Lytechinus pictus: one gene and its partner. The protein of the gene in region 1 binds, or shares a complex with, the protein of each later gene. Links are inferred from orthologs where the notes say so. Each region holds a gene or a part of one and is shown on either strand. Other genes may lie near its edges. The genes, in order: oligosaccharyltransferase complex subunit ostc-B-like and keratinocyte-associated protein 2-like.

Region 1 (8,231 bases):
TCAAAGGATTTTTCGAAAGTTACTTCCTTTTACCACTTCAGAATAGTGTTTTCTCTCAAGTAAAAAAAAAAAGTCATTGGTTCACCCATTCCAGGTGACTCCAGGTCCAAGGTTGAATAAACCCAAGGACATGGCCATAGATGCCCTGTGGACTGGCCGTAATGCTCCTCCATTGGTCTTGGAGATTTGTTGGGCACTTTTATTTCATTTATTTCTTTTCTATTTGTGCTGTAATATTTAAATGCTTAAATATTCGCCCTAAAAATTTTCGGAATTTAAGGCCTATGACTTGTAAACGTAACAACTCCGCAAACTCTGAGTGCAGACCTAGCCATATTTTCTTTTTCAAATCATATTAACATCATAATATGATTGGATTTACATCAAAATTTTATATAGTGTATTTCTATAAATCTACCATAAATATTTTTCTAAAATCAAAATACTTACGGAAGCTTCATTCGCATGAATACTCTACACATGAAGAAAGATATGAGGATACAGATGAAGCCCACTAGAAGAAGAAGAAAACGGTTGAGTTTGGGCATCACAGTTGAGTTAGATTTATCGAGAACGACAAAGCCTAACCCTCCGATGGTAAAGAGAAAACTAGACGCCAAGCCCTCCATGATGTACTGTCCATTCACCCTGTATGGCATGAAGGCAACCTACAAAGGACAGGAATACAAATTAATAATAATAATCGATCACTAGCATATCCAGCATCAGCTATGACAAAGAAATGTATGGGTCCATGCACAAACATAATAGAATCACTATTGTCCCCAGACAACTGGGCGGGCCCATAAAATGCTTTGTAGGATCTGATGCTGGATACGTGCCTGATAATATGCAACATTCGTATCGTACTTTGACTTTACACAATATAGTACCGAGTACTATTACCCTGGCCTGAGCATGGCTACAATGATCAGGTGCTTGAGCAATGATCATTCAAGTAATTCCATCCTACCAGGTACCAGGTACCCATTTAATACACCTGGATGGTGAATGGCAAATGTAGATAAAAATTAGCTAAAGGACTTGAGTGTTGCAGGACTTTATATCACGGACGTGAGACGTCCCTGTTAAAATACAGAGACTTATCCACTGAGCCACATTCAAGTTTACAAATTTCTGTGATGATGAAACTTTCTGCATTTAATGTAAATGGGAAGTTCTAATTGAATTAGGCTAAGTGAAATTAAATAAGGTAGAATTTGGCTTAACGTTTAGAAATTATTTCCTTAAATGACAGAAAGACTAAACTTTTTGTTTTCTTTTAATCTAATAAATAACAAGTTATATAAAATGTGAGTAGACGCCTTTTCAAAAGTATGGGCCATATCTTTTAGTAGGAATTAGGAATCTTGCAGAGTGTCTTACAGATTGGCATTCATCATTTCCCCCAAAGTCATGTCCATGATGAAATGTGACCTATAGGTATGAAGAGACACTAACAAGATTCCTGCTAAAAGACATATTCAGACATAATCAAACTCCCTTTGATAATAATTATAACTCTTCCTTGTTAATTTACTGTCAATGTTCTTTTTAAAAAAAATCACATCTTTGAATTCCATTTTCTTTTTAGAATTGATTGTCTCACCAGTAAGAATCTAAATTCATCTAAATTCATTTAAATCACAATTAATGCTCAATTTAAAAGATACAAGATGACATACTGGTTTTTGATGTCCATTTTCATCTGTTGTAGATCCCACACTTGGAGGCTCAACAATAACATCATAGATTACACCTGCAAAGTGTTGAGAAAATAAAAATCACAATACATGAGGCAATGGTGAAATATCCTTAGAAAACTAAAACCAACTACAGTCACAGACCCTTCTCAGTTTTGCCCCCAAGCTTTGAATAATTTCCCCCATTAACAATGACATGTGAAGCACTATCGTTGAACTTTAAGCCCCTCCTAAAATCTGACTGTTGATAGTTTCAGTTTTAAGAGTTACTGATCTTATCAATATCAATTGAATTGATATACATATCGACCCTCTAAGTACATATTTCTTGATTTTATTTCTGTACTTCTAAATGAAGTCATGCAAGTAGACACTAAATGATGTCTTGACATTTTTTTTTTATATCCCCAACTTAAGATCTATTCACATAATTCTTAGGCAGCTCTTTGAAACATATTAAAAGCACTTTATCAATCTTGATTAGAGGGGCTATTTATCTTTCTAGTATTTTTAGTAAGACTCTCAGACTCTACTGTCTGAATTATACTATAGTATAGATTCCCCAACATAGATCTAAGTTACGTGCGTGCATCCATGACCATGACAGTTACTTTAAGTTTAATTTGAATTTGTTACTTAGTTTGGCCTTTGGGTGTGTCTTGTCTCAGACCGTACCGTTCAGCGAATACCGAAGTTTGGCTGCATATGAAATAAGTATGAACGTTTATACAGTATTAATAGGCAGGAGGTGAGGGTTAACAAGCAGGGAAAAACAAAACAAAAGCATGAAAGTAAAAGTTCAAAAGCTGTGAGTGTGACGCTCGGCCGCGGCTGCGTCATCGCGTCGCTTGAGTGTATCTCTGCGGAGTTCATACCCGACCGACCCGGGGTATCGTTCATCGACATATCGTGGCCTGAACAACTTAACTTGGCTCACACTTACCTCCCGTCACTAAGAAGTATGATGCTAAAACAACGAAGTAAACTGTCATTGCAGAAGGTGCATGAAGCCATGATGGTTTTTTCAGTTTTAAATGTGGGCATTCCAAAACAGAAAAGGGCAATGCATAAAGTCGTTCCATTTTAAAGAGATATTCTGTGGCCAATAGTCACGTTAAGACAAAATTCAACAGCCACGTCCTCACGATATATAGGTATCGCATTATAGACTTCGATTCAGACGTCGATTGAGCATTTATTTGAGCTTGAGCTGCTATATAGCTATCCGGATGTAGATCTAGATCGTCCCTGGGGACGGTGGGGACGTCGCCACTAACTGTTTGTATTCGTGCCAGCCTGCCACATTAGATAGAGATGTGTTGTTTTACTATCCCCATCGATTGAAGAAAAATATAATAGAGAGGAGCTAACAATATACAAATCATTTTCAATAGAATACAACTCAGTCTGGGGGAGGGGCAGTGCGGTGGTGCGTCAAGGTGCGAGTATATTTCCAAGTTTTTCCTTTCATTGTAATAATGCATCAAATAATTAATTTTCATGAAATGATTAAAAGTAGGCGACACATGTAGGCCCTACACACATACGCTTAGATTCTTGACTCTAAATTGTGTAATGTCGGCCCCATTGGCGGCGGAAGCCAAAAAATTTAGGGGGGCCGGGTGGGGGGTCCACCTGAAATTTAGGGATGGACACAGGTAAAAAATTGGACAAGCAAAAAAAAGGTTATCAACCAAAATTTTAGGGGGTCCACCTGAATTTAGGGGGGACGCAGAAAAGAAAATTGACAAGCAAAAAAAAAAAGGTTATCAACCGAAATTTTAGGGGGGTCCGTCCCCCCACCTCAAATTTAGGGGGTACAGGACCGCCCGTCCCCCGGGCCCCCCGCTTCCACCGCCTTTGGCCGACCCCCGCCCCCCCCCCCCCACCACCATGGTTCAGGCATGTCCCCATATTTCGGGGGCCCTTTTTCAGCTTAAAAGGGGTACCAAGAAATTGCTCCATATCTTCCATTTGGGGGAATCTGGATCCCTGAGTTAACTTAATGTGCCAAGTTCCTGATGGCCGGGAATGAGTGTATTTTACATCAGTAGACAGTGGCATAATGAGCAAAAAAATTGAGGGGATCAATATGGCGTATCGCTGGAAATTGATAAGAAATTGAAAATCATTGACCATTTTTACAAAAATCAAATTTTGTGATAGATTTTGACATCATTACCCTTATCCTTTTCCTTTTCTCTTTTTATTCTCGGTCGTGAAAATTGGGGGATGCAAGACCCCCCCCCCCCCCTCCCCATCTGTTCGCCCATGGAGCCTAGCTATAGGAGCTAGAGGGAAATAATTCCTGAAAATCATTGAAATAGGGGGTCTTTTACCATAAGTCCAGAAATACTTTAATTTTGGGGTAGTGCAAATGACTCCCAAATCAAATCCACAAAAGGCACTATAGCCGATCTGTCAGTGGCAGTTAGCCAAATTTGGGGGCGGACACTTACAATAGAAAAATAAATATGTAGACCCTTACCAAATAAACTAAAATTTTGGTAGAACATTTCAATAATCCTATTTTGTCAGATTTGTATAAGTCTGCATTTTAATTGATATACCACAAGTGGATTAGAATCATGTGGTACAAGCCAGCAGAAGCCTATAGTGCCTCGCTTTTTCCAAATGGTATAAATTTGAAATAGATCATATCAGGGGCAGAGAGGCTGACTGGGGGACCGGGGTGTATTGTGGTCAGGGATCGATCTCGAGTCAGTAAAAAATTCTGCACGGCAAGTTAAAACCAATCAGAGTCTGTGCTTATAGACTACAGATGCGACGAAGAAACTATAAGATCAAAGATGGACTACTCTCCCAAGTGTATACAACCTCGATGGTAGTACAACTTAAACTCCCTCAGAAGGCCGTGCTCCTGCACTGAGATCAGTGTCCAGTCCTTCTGTAGAAATGTAAGTCCTATATACACTTTTAAAAACAAATCAGTCTGACTAGTTAATAGGGTCAGCTGGGTGCAACTGTTATTCTAGTCATATTTAACAAGACCCACCCCCAAAAAAGAAAAAAAATCAGAAAACCTATAAAAAAAACCTCCTCTGACACAATGGATATCAGTCTACAACTAGGCCTAATATGCGATTCTAGAACTTATATGTTTTGCGGCTCCTCACGAGCAATTTAAGTATAATATAATAAAATAGAAGCATATACGACGCCACAATTAAACCCCTAGAAACTGATAATAATGAAATAGTAATAACAAAACCGCAGAAAGAACTATTTGCATGGACCATCACCCAGGGGCCATCAATATTTGAAGGAAAATTCCAGGAATTCATACTCTTCCTTTTTTTTTAGTGGAAGTAGACCTATATCTCAGGTGCGGCGGAGCGTAGCTGAAATGGGGACACGTGCAGGGGAAAAGGGCACCTTTTCTTTCAAAAAGGTCACTATCTTAAACATGGCCGTATGCAGAAATTTTTGGTGAGGGGCAGCACGTGTAAACTTTTTGGAAAAAAATCAAAAGCGAGGGAGCGAAGCGACCGAGCTAATCATTAAGGCCCTTTTGCATTTTGTTAAGTGAAATTGATGGATTTTGTACATACTTTTGGTGAATTTTGTAAAAATCTGCAGTTAAAAAAGATTAAGTTTTCGGGGGGGGTGGGGGGCTGCCCACTGCCATGAGACAAAGCATTGGAGGGCACAGCATTGTTCACAAAGAATACAGTGCCCCTCCAATCATTAATCTCCTTCGGGTCACAGTCTGCCACTGTTTGAAATACCTATCCTGTTCATGATTAGAAAAGTGCTTAGAATGTCCCGTTTTTAGGTCTGAAATCTCTTTTTTTTTCCGTTCGCTCTTCGCGCTCGCATCAATTTGTATAGTTATATACCTATCCTGTTCATGGTTACAAAAAGTGCTTAGAATGTCCAGTTTTTAGGTCGCCGAATGTCAACATTTTCAGCTCGCGCTTCGCGCACGCATTATTTGATTGTTAAAATATGTATCGTCTTTATGGGTAAGTGCAAACAGTCCTTATTACCGATCCCTTTTCGATCTGGCCAGAACGTATATATCAAAGATATCTTCTCGCGCTGATCGCACTCGCAGTAATTATTTGTTAGGGCACTTAAGGACGTTCCACAGTTAAAGTGAAATCCATGTCATTTTCACCAAACTTTGCACATAAATACTTTAAAACCTGAATATTCGAAATATGCAAAAATTAACATATGTCCATGTGCTTGATTTTTTGCTATAGAGCTTCAAAGTTCACCTAAATGGATGTTCTTAAGAATTGCGCATTCAAAAGAATTTGGCATTTTTAGACCTCGCAATATCACTGCAATGAGTTTAAACCTATATTACTCAGTCAAGATACATGAAAAAGTCATCAAATTTTTCAAGAGAGTTAATCGTTGTATTGTTAGAATGGAGAATCTATTTATACTGCTATTTGTTTGCAATTTTAAGTCTAACAGCACTGTCAGTTCTTAAAAATGGCGTAAGAGATAACAAAAACCCAATCTCAAAAATGTGAAATTTCAATAAAAAACTACAAAAGTACAAAAAATGCTGCACTTTATTCAAAATCCATGTCATTTTCACCAAAATTTGCAAAGTTGTAGAGGAAGGTATACATAAGAGGTGCAAACATTAAAAAATAGGGGTTCATGTGCTCGTTTTCAAACTATCAGTATTTTTATTAGAGAAAATGTGCTTTCTAAACACCAAAAATGTGCCAAATGCTTTGTATCTATGTGAAGACAAAAAACAAAACCACTCTACCATTTATTCAAACTCGGGGTCATAATCGTGATTCTTGGCAGCATTGCAGAGTAAAGTATGTCAAAATTGTAGACATATTTTTTAAAATGGTCCATGGAATAATTCCAGTTTTTTAGCTTCATAAAATAACGCATCGGATCTGTAGTTAGCATGAAGATGATGAGAAAAATCAGCTCATAACCACAGCTAATTAATCGCCTGTTCATTGACGTTCCACAGTTAAAGTGAAATCCATGTCATTTTCACCAAACTTTGCACATAGATACTTCAGAACCTTAATATTCGAAATATGCAAAAATTAACTTAGGTCCATGTGCTTTATTTTTTGCTATAGAGCTTCAAAGTTCACCCAAATTGATGTTCTTAAGAATTGCGCATTCAAAAGAATTTGGCATTTTTAGACCGCCCAAGATTACTACAATGAGTTTAAACCTCTATTACTCAGTCAAAATACATGAAAAAGTCATCACATTTCGCAATAGAGTTAATAATTGTATCGTTAGAATTGAGAATCTATTTATAGTGCTATTTGTTAGCAATTATAAGTTTAACAGCACTGTCAGTTCATAAAAATGGCGTAAAAGATAACAAAATACCAATCTAAATAATGTAACATTTCAGTAACAAACTACAAACGTACAATAAATGCTGCACTTTATTCAAAATCCATGTCATTTTTACCAGAATTTGCAGGGTTGTAGAGGAAGGTATACCTAAGAGGTACAAACATTAAAAAATAGGGGTTCATGTGCTTGTTTTTAAACTATCAGCATTTTTATTAGAGCAAATGTGCTTTTTAAAACACCAAAAATGCACCGAATGCTTTGTATCTATGTGAAGTAAAAATCAAAACCACTCTACCATTTATTCAAACTCGGGGTAATATTCGTGATTCTTGGCAGTTCTTACGAGAAAAGTATTTTGAAATTGTAGAGAATTTTATTTTGAATGGCCCATGGAATACTTCAATTTTTTAGCTTCATGAAATAACGCATCGGATCTGCAGTTAAAGTGCAGAAGATGAGAAAAATCAGCTCATACCCGCAGCTAATTAATCACCTCTTCATCCATTGTGACGTCAGCGCGCAGAGTGTAAACTATGCGCAGATCATAATGCGCACAAACATAACTGTGGAACGTCCTTAACTGCATGGATAAATAATTTTTACAACTATGATTTATTTATGCACGTCATAGATCCTTTCAAGTTTGAGCTGCTATTGAAAACTATGAGATAAATTTTCCCCGTCATTTCACTCTTTCACTTTTAAGTTCCGCCCCCCCCCCCCTCCTCTCTCTTCGTACCATCGTACCCTTTCCCCTGTGTAGGCCAAGTTGGATGACTTTAAATTCTTTCTCTTTTTTTTCACCGTAGAATACGTCCGGGATGCGTTTTTTTTTTCATCATCTTCTTCTTCTTCCTTTTTTTTTTACCTTCTTCATTTTGTGCCCAAGTAATGTATACGATGACCAGGGTCGTTTGCATTTTTTTCTTTTATACACTAACAGGTTCAAAAGGCAAGACCGTGGACCCTGAGAAAAAGATAATTAAACAGGGAAAAATCAAACTCAAGCATGATGCTAAGGTTCATAACAATTGGATGTTAGTTTATTAACCTTCTAAATAAATGAGACTGTCGATACCGTCCCTCCCTCATGCACTATTTCTTCTGACTGTGTTAAAATTACACTTTTTGCAGATCATTTGACATCAGAACAACATTTGCGATTGTATCTCTGTTTCGTATAATGGTCCAGCACAACATGTATAT
Region 2 (8,042 bases), on another chromosome or scaffold:
AGGGCATGTGGGTCTGCTCTTTGCTATCTCACAAACTCTCCTCAGTGATTGGTATTGCACTAAGTCTTTTTAACCAATCCTCATGGTTTTCTTTCATGAGTATTTGCCTTACAATATCCCCTTTATTAAAATCCCAACGAAAGTACATGCCGTCCGATGTGACAGATATAGTCCACATGCCCCCAAACCCATCATCCCAATATATATCCCTGACTTCGGATTTTAAGTACCACATTTCTCACTTATTGGATGTAAATGAAATTATGGTCTGCTGATAGAAGAAGATGTTCATTTCCAGGGAACTAAAAATCTACCTGATTCCATCTTATCCTATAGATACACATTAGTTTGTGGAAATAAAAAGGGTATGATGGAAGTGAAATTCAAGAGTGCGCGTGTGCAGTGAAGACCTCTTCTGTCCGTTAGTTTTCCATATCCCTACATTGGCGCGAGGCGGGGCAGCTGCTCGTATATGACGTCACAGATCAAAAACTTCAAAATCTAATCATAACTTCTTAATTTTGATGGATTTTCCTCGAATCTCCACAAATATGTTTTCTGATTTTTTTTTACAATAAATTTTTGTCAGAGTGCCTTGAACGTTCCCACCGTCCAATACAGGAATCCAGTGGCGTACCTAGGATTTTCCAAAGGGGGGGGGGGGCAAATTCGTCCGCCAAAAAAAAAGGTCTTCAACCGCAAGTAAAGGACCTTTCGCACCAGAATAAAATTGACAAGCAAAACAAAATGGTCTTCAAGTTCAAAGGAAGGGCCCACTTAGCTCGTCAGGGATCAGTTTTGACTCGTCGGGGGGGGGGGGGGGGGCAGAGATACGTCCCTTGCATGTGTTGTGACTCGTCAGGAGGGGGCAGTCTGCCCCCCCCCCCTTAGGTACGCTAATGCAGGAATCAAATATGATTTCATGCAGCTTTTCTCGACCATACGTCAATCATTTTTAAACGGCAAAGCCACCCCAGGAAAAACTTGATTTCAATCGATAGAGAAAAATCAAACAAGCATAACGCTGAAAATTTCATCAAAATCGGATGTAAAATATATAAAAAGTGTATGGCATTTCTAAGTTTCGCTTATTCACAAAACAGTTATATGCACAAGTCAGTGATATGTAAATGAGAGAGTTGATGATGTCACTCATTCACTATTTATTTATTTTTTTATTGCTTGAATTATACAATAGTCCTTTATTTTCAATTTTCACAGGATTTACAATACGGACCCCGGGTCTTTGTTGAGCCACAATGTTAAAACAATGGTTCAGGAAGGAATAAAACTTTGTTTCTCATGCAACTGAGGAGAAAATTGAAATATTCCATATTACGTATAACAAAATACCAAAAAAATAGTAGCCTACGTCATCGGTCGGCCAAGCATACCTACCAGGGTGTGCATATAACTTTTGTACTAAGCTAAACTTTGAAATATATAACTTTTATCCGATTTTGATGAGATTTTCTGTGTTATTTTTTTATTTTTCTCCTTTTATTCCAATCAACCTTTTGTTGGTATAGGACTTGTCCTTTAACACACAAGGTCTTCTGAACTTTGTTTTCCGATAGCAGTAAAACCCAGAAAATTAATTTTTTTACTCGTGCAAATGGAAATTTTCAGTGGCTCCACCGTGAATTTACATATTGACGGAGGGGATGCCGCGGAGCCATGCCGAAATCTCAGCGGAGCATATCCCTGGGACAGAAATAAACCTATTAACAGAGGCGTCGATCCTGGGGGGGCAGGGGGGCGATCGCCCCACCAATGAAAATATTGGGGGGGGGGCAAACATATCATTTTGCCCCCCCCCCCCCAATAATTCCGGATATACAAAAAAAAAAAAAAAGATTGTAATGTTCAGCAAGCGAGATTGAGATACACAATTCGTTCTTTATTTAAAATCGTGCTCAAAATGTCTGCTTTTCAGATTGGAATATAAAATTTTTTAGCTCGCGCTTCGCGCTCGCATCATTTCTGTAGTAAAAACCCATACTTTTCATGATTGAATAGGTGAATGTAAATGTCCCATTTTCAGTTTTAAGCTTCAAAAGAACTCCTGCTTCGATTTGCAATCATCTTTTCTTGGATATATATCTTGTTCTTTATCAAAAACTTACATTAAACTGTCATTTTTTTCAGATCGAAATATCAAAATTATATCTGTGTAGTGAGATATGTATCCTCATGAGTTACAAACAGCCCTAAACAGGCACGCTTTTCCTGTCAGTATGCTAAAAAAAAATCAGCTCGCGCTTCGCGCTCGCATTAATTTGTTGATGGTGAGATACGTGTCTGTGTCTCATGAGTCATATATATATATGTGTGTGTGTGTGTGGGTGTGTGTGTGTGTGTGGGGGGGGGGGGTGGATGGGTGTCTTATACGATCGAGCGCCTTTGGAACGTTAATGATTTTGCCCCCCCAATCTGAAAAATGAATCGACGCCCCTGCCTATTAAATATCGGTCTAACTGTTAATCTCTGACCGAAACTGAGACCGAAAAGTGTTCTTTTTTTCCTATTTTCCACAGCATGCACGTTGAGATGGCCAGCATATCTTTTCATTGATTTACATCTCATGAAGCAAACTGATTCAGTGGCAAAAAATTACACTGATTTCCTATAGCTCTGTTTGGGGCAACTGCATGTCCATGCAGCGGCCTACAAATTGCCCCTAAATAGATTGCAAAAAAAAGCTGCTAGATATGTATCTGGAATTTCTGACTATCAAATTGCGAGCGGGAATACATTCATAAATGAACTCTCCTGGCAAACTATATTGACCAACGTCGGGATTATTTTCTGGATATTCTCATATGCAGGCCTACAAGTGTATAGGGGGCGTCGCCCCTCCCTGCTTATCAAATGAAATTGAAATGTATTTCGATCACCATGGCATGAACACTAGTAATGCAAACTTACTAAATGCAGTATTACCAAAACCTAACATATTTATGATATGCCGGAACAGTCATGTAACTTGGAATAAACTCCCGGAAGAGTCCATAATGCCATTTCTGTTGCATGAATATCATTATAAGAAATTTCGCTTAGATCAATAAGAATTTTTAAACTGTTTTATTTTGGTTCATATATACTTATAGTATTGTTATTATTAGCATGATTACCCAAGAATACACATCTAACGTTAATTATCGATTATTATGATTTCCTATAAGTATTAATATTGATACAATTCATTAAATTGAGGCCTATTCCCTTTTTAACGTGATTTCATATCGGTGTATAAAACCTCTATCTTTTCCCTTCATCACTTCTTTATCTTGTTGGGACGGATCTGAGTATTTATGAATTTGGTGGAGAAAATGTTATGTTTCTCTTTAAAAACAAAGATAAATCAAACACACCAATCAATCAGACTAGGAAAAAAATAGGGGAAAAAACTAAACAAGCAACAACAAGCACGGCGACTCAAACACCCCAACTTTTTAGCTAAACGTGATCATTCAAGAAAAATAAGCACTTGACAAAATAATTACAGTTCGATGACTTCGATTTATAATGAAAATGATTCGAATGTTTTCTTTGACAAATTTACAAAGTGTTTACAACTCAAAGAAATGCCTGTATGATATATCCAATAATGAAGACAGTAAATAAAGTAATGTCGAATATTCAAAGGAATTATAACAGAGCAATTGATTATGTAATAAAATAGGATATAAACTCCAAAATAGGCCAAAGCGTTGAGAAGTTGACAGTTCGATCTACTTTGCGAATTGAGTTGTTCGACCTGAACTTGGAATGGTGAAATACGTAGCTAGGCCTGCCGTATACAACGGAGAGTGGAAAACCGGTCTTGATGAATCATCGATCGATGTCATGCAGGACAAAAACTCGTCTATGGTGAGGGTCTCAGTGGAACCCGATAAATATCAGGAAAAAGAAGTAAAAAGTCAGCTAAAACAGGAGTCCATTTCTCCTTTACAAAATGAAGAGCCCATACAGCATCAGTGTGGTATACGCTGTTGGGAAGCTAAGCCGACGATCTCGGGGAGATATTGGTTCAAATCCCCATAGAAAAAGATGTAACCAAAATTAAACACCGACGGCTCTGCTGAAGTATCAGCAACCGGGTTTTTTGTGAGAGTCCCCGTTTAATTAAGAACGCACGAAACCGCCCTTACAGGGCGAGATCTAATTGGTCATTTTTCGTAACCAGGAAAAACATTATTTACATATTATTACTAAGTCCGTGTCTCTTAGGGTTCAACACGTATTGGGAATGCTTTCTTTTGAAATTCACCTGCTGTTCCGGAAATACTGTCTTTAATAATGACAGGTGGAAATTTCTTTGCGTCCAACTAAAAAAATCCAAATTGCATTTGATTCTTTTTTTTTTACACGTATCACATAAAAGTGCTTTTGATTCTTGTTTTACACAGTATCACATAAAAGTGCTTTTGATTCTTGTTTTACGCAGTATCACATAAAAGTATTTCAGGCTTCTTTGATATCCTAAAATAAACTCAGAAATTGTCACTACAATCTTATTATGAGATAAATTTTGCTATTTGTTCATTTTTCATTCTGATGTTTCACTTTCTTAATATGTGTATTTCTCTCCTTATGCAGGACCATTATGTGAAACAGCCTGCGAGCTGAGTAATGTTTTATCATGTTGAAAGTTGTTTGAATAAATAAATAAATAGCTTCTTTTTTGGGACGCACTGTATCTCTATGGTATCCGAGCATAAGGGGGGGGGGTGGAAATCTACACGTAGTCTTAAGTCCTGATAAATGATTTTATTACTATCAATTACATTAACAAAGTAATCCATTATAGGCAATGATTTCATAACATAATCAATAAAAAACTTCATTACCGAATCATGATGTCTTATTAATCACGATAATCGTCATTATTATTAACCTTTTCAATAATAAGATTTAAAAGAAAATATCTAATTTGTCTGAAATATTTCTGACCAGTAGTGCCGACGTGGAAGAACTGCGACTTCAAATATGGGTAATTCTTATATTATCTTAACGTTAATCGTCACTTAAATGGAGAAAATCCGTCAGTATTGCAATATATTTTGATATTGAAGCGTTTGTGAGGCATGAGAGTGGGAAAAATGCGTTTTGAAGTAATTAGAGTTGTTGTATATAATCTCAACTTTTTTTGTAGTGGTCCCGCGCCCTGGTTTCCGTGTGTGTTATATTGGGGTAAAACAATGTCAATGCATTGAGGCGGGGGGGTCTCGATGCCGGCGTGTCTGGAGTCCGGACACTTAGATTTTTTAAATCAATCATCTTTTGCTCCAGAACTTTTTGGCAACAAATAGCCAAATAATTGTAAACATTATCATGTGGATGTGCTTTCCTTTGTATTTTTTTGTAACTCACTAACCCAGGCCAGGGTCGGGAGCTCTGGCCCGCTTCGCCTTCGCGGGCCGGAGCCCAGCCCCAGGACTCGACTCGTCCGTGTAAACTAATACTAGGCAGACATGGGTACTCTCCAAAATGGGGTAGAATGGGGTCGCAATAGCCCTCCAAATAAAAGGGGAAAAAATAAATTATGCACTTACCTGGATTATATGGATGACATGAAGGTCTATCGTCACACAGAATCCTGACATCGAGACACAAACCGGATCCTCAAAAATGGAAAAGTTAGACCTCCATGTCGCGTTCATTCTCGGTATCGATCGGCCATTTTGTTTTCAATTTTGAGAGAAGGAGAACAAACGAGACAGAACTTTTCCTCATTTAAGTATTTTTGTTGTCATCCACACACAAAATAAATGGGCTTCTGCGCCTCTACGGCCTACTCTCCCTGTTTTGATCCTCCGCTCTTCGGAGATTAGTGACAAATCGCGGTCAAGAGCATTGATGTCTTGAGCATTTACTGCCAGGATTAAATCTAGCCCACTTGAAGAGTACAGGTGATGGGCATGAATTTTATATATATAGTGAAGTGTCATTTTCAGGATGGAATCATTAACAGTATGAGGAAGGGAATTGCGCAAGGCAATTCAAAGGGATCGTGGGTATTGAGTAGGGTAATTTTTGAAGAGGATTGAAGATTTCGTTTTTAAATAGAAACTTGATTCGGTTTAGAGAATATTAAGAAAAAGATAAATCAACCAGTGCACTCTGATATAAAATCTGTCATGTAAATTGTAGAAAATATGTTCTTGTTTAGAATTTGTTTGGAAATTACTTGAAATATAGATTTTTATAACATCCTGGTTTTTAAATTATTTTTGCAAGAAATAGGATCAGGAAGCCTTTCACCATGGCATACATGTATGACCAATTTTATGGCCCTGATTATTGTAAATTTTAAAAAGTGCTGATTGCTACCCCCTTCATTATTTTTTATCTGACATTATAGATTGTTCAAACATCAATTTGTGACTTGTTCCTTTCAGCTGTCAGTAGTGGAGTATCGGCTCTTTTGTCTGCTATCCTAGCAGTAGCCCTGTTTGCTGGTATGCAGACATACCGCACCCAACTCGCAGATTCAGAATGGCTGACAATATTTGGTGGATTCCTTGGAGCTGACCTATTCATCTTGATCCTCACTGTATCCTTTGCAAACTTTCAATTGTGTTCAATGTTGTGCTGATCTTACGGGAATCCTAAAGGGTGCTTCTCTATGCTGAAAGGAATTTTCTTAATTGAAAGGAGCATATTTTATTTCTTTTTCTTTAATTTAGTTTAAAACCATCTACCAAAATGTTGCAAAATAGTTGCATTGCCAAGCAATAACCTAAAAATATTGTATAATTTCAGCCTAATTTAGTATCTCTGCAGTGTTCCAGTTTGAACAAGAATTGGTCACTTGATGTGATTGTGTTTTCATCATTTCATGCAATTTTTAGCATCATGTGTGCTGAGTGTAGTTAATTTTGCACAGTGCATCATGCACATCAACTGCAACAAGCAAAGCAGGGGAGAAACCATGTTTACATCATTTCGAAACTAGATGTTTCAATGATGGGTCATTTGTCTAAAATATTTGTGATTAAATATTATAAATCCCTGATAGTTCTTGGGTTCCTCAAAGTCTTCTAGGCCAGCAATTTTTGCTGCTTTCATAATTTTTTTTTATCATTGGTCAATGAATGGGAAGTAGGAGGCAAGATAGAACAATTGATATCACAGGCACCCTCACGTTAATACATGTAGCCCCCTTCATATTAAGCTATGAGCCATGCCATGTCAACTCTACTTCATTTAAACAAAATTGCATAGATTTGTTAGCCATGTAATGTATACTATTACTATGGTGTTATCCTTAAAGAGAAATGCCAGTAGTTGCAGTAAACATTGATTTCATGAGAAAGTCTGTAAAACCAGGCTTAATTGTCAGTATACCATCGAGGATCTAGATCTGGTACAGTTACATAAACTGAACTTTGTGAAATCTTGAAATCTACGCTGAAAATATTCACACTGAAGATCCCCAACACAGATAGGCACACGTGGGACAGTGTATTATTATTGCTGGAATAAAGACCCGACGGAAGTGACCGAATCCGCGCTTATTTTGCTTATTTCTCAGCAATTACACAATTTCGACCAGAATCCTTTGGCACATATTTTTTATTCATCCAAACAGACACTTGGGTGGTCATTATATTAGATTCTGTAAAAAGTCATTTTGAGATCGTTACCAAAACTGGAATTTATCTTTAACTGCTAAAATCTGCAGTGCATTAGTAACATTGAAACTATGCTCTTTGGTAAAGGATTTCAGGCGAAACTCATTCCAGAAGGTATGTATCACTGAAAGTCAATCTTCATCTGCTTTTGTTAATTTGCAATACATGTAAAGCATTGGTTCTTTTCTGTGTTCTTTGGATATGCAAGGATGAATTTACACTTATTACTTTTATTACAACTTTTTTTTTTTTTGATGGTGGTTAGGTGGAACCAACCATGTTGAGGGGAATTGCCAGAAGTATATGTAGTTTCAGCTCAACATTAGAATATGCATTCCTCAAGAAAGTTCTGCAAAATAGACATTCATTCATAAATTAAAACATGATTTATTGCTTATGGCC

The links.
Region 2: oligosaccharyltransferase complex subunit ostc-B-like (region 1) and keratinocyte-associated protein 2-like share a complex: the UniProt entries of both Drosophila melanogaster proteins name them as parts of the oligosaccharyltransferase (OST) complex. The link is inferred for Lytechinus pictus from reciprocal best matches to the Drosophila melanogaster genes CG9662 and CG31460.

Annotation. Positions count from the first base shown.
Region 1 is NC_087246.1:18,765,988-18,774,218, reverse strand, and holds the start of oligosaccharyltransferase complex subunit ostc-B-like, read right to left. Parts: upstream 3,096-8,231; 5' UTR 2,786-3,095; coding exon 2,647-2,785; intron 1,760-2,646; coding exon 1,686-1,759; intron 669-1,685; coding exon 451-668; intron 1-450. UniProt on the Drosophila melanogaster protein: Subunit of the oligosaccharyl transferase (OST) complex that catalyzes the initial transfer of a defined glycan (Glc(3)Man(9)GlcNAc(2) in eukaryotes) from the lipid carrier dolichol-pyrophosphate to an asparagine residue within an Asn-X-Ser/Thr consensus motif in nascent polypeptide chains, the first step in protein N-glycosylation.
Region 2 is NC_087249.1:30,323,934-30,331,975, reverse strand, and holds the start of keratinocyte-associated protein 2-like, read left to right. Parts: upstream 1-4,769; 5' UTR 4,770-4,992; coding exon 4,993-4,996; intron 4,997-6,404; coding exon 6,405-6,559; intron 6,560-7,690; coding exon 7,691-7,754; intron 7,755-8,042. UniProt on the Drosophila melanogaster protein: Subunit of the oligosaccharyl transferase (OST) complex that catalyzes the initial transfer of a defined glycan (Glc(3)Man(9)GlcNAc(2) in eukaryotes) from the lipid carrier dolichol-pyrophosphate to an asparagine residue within an Asn-X-Ser/Thr consensus motif in nascent polypeptide chains, the first step in protein N-glycosylation.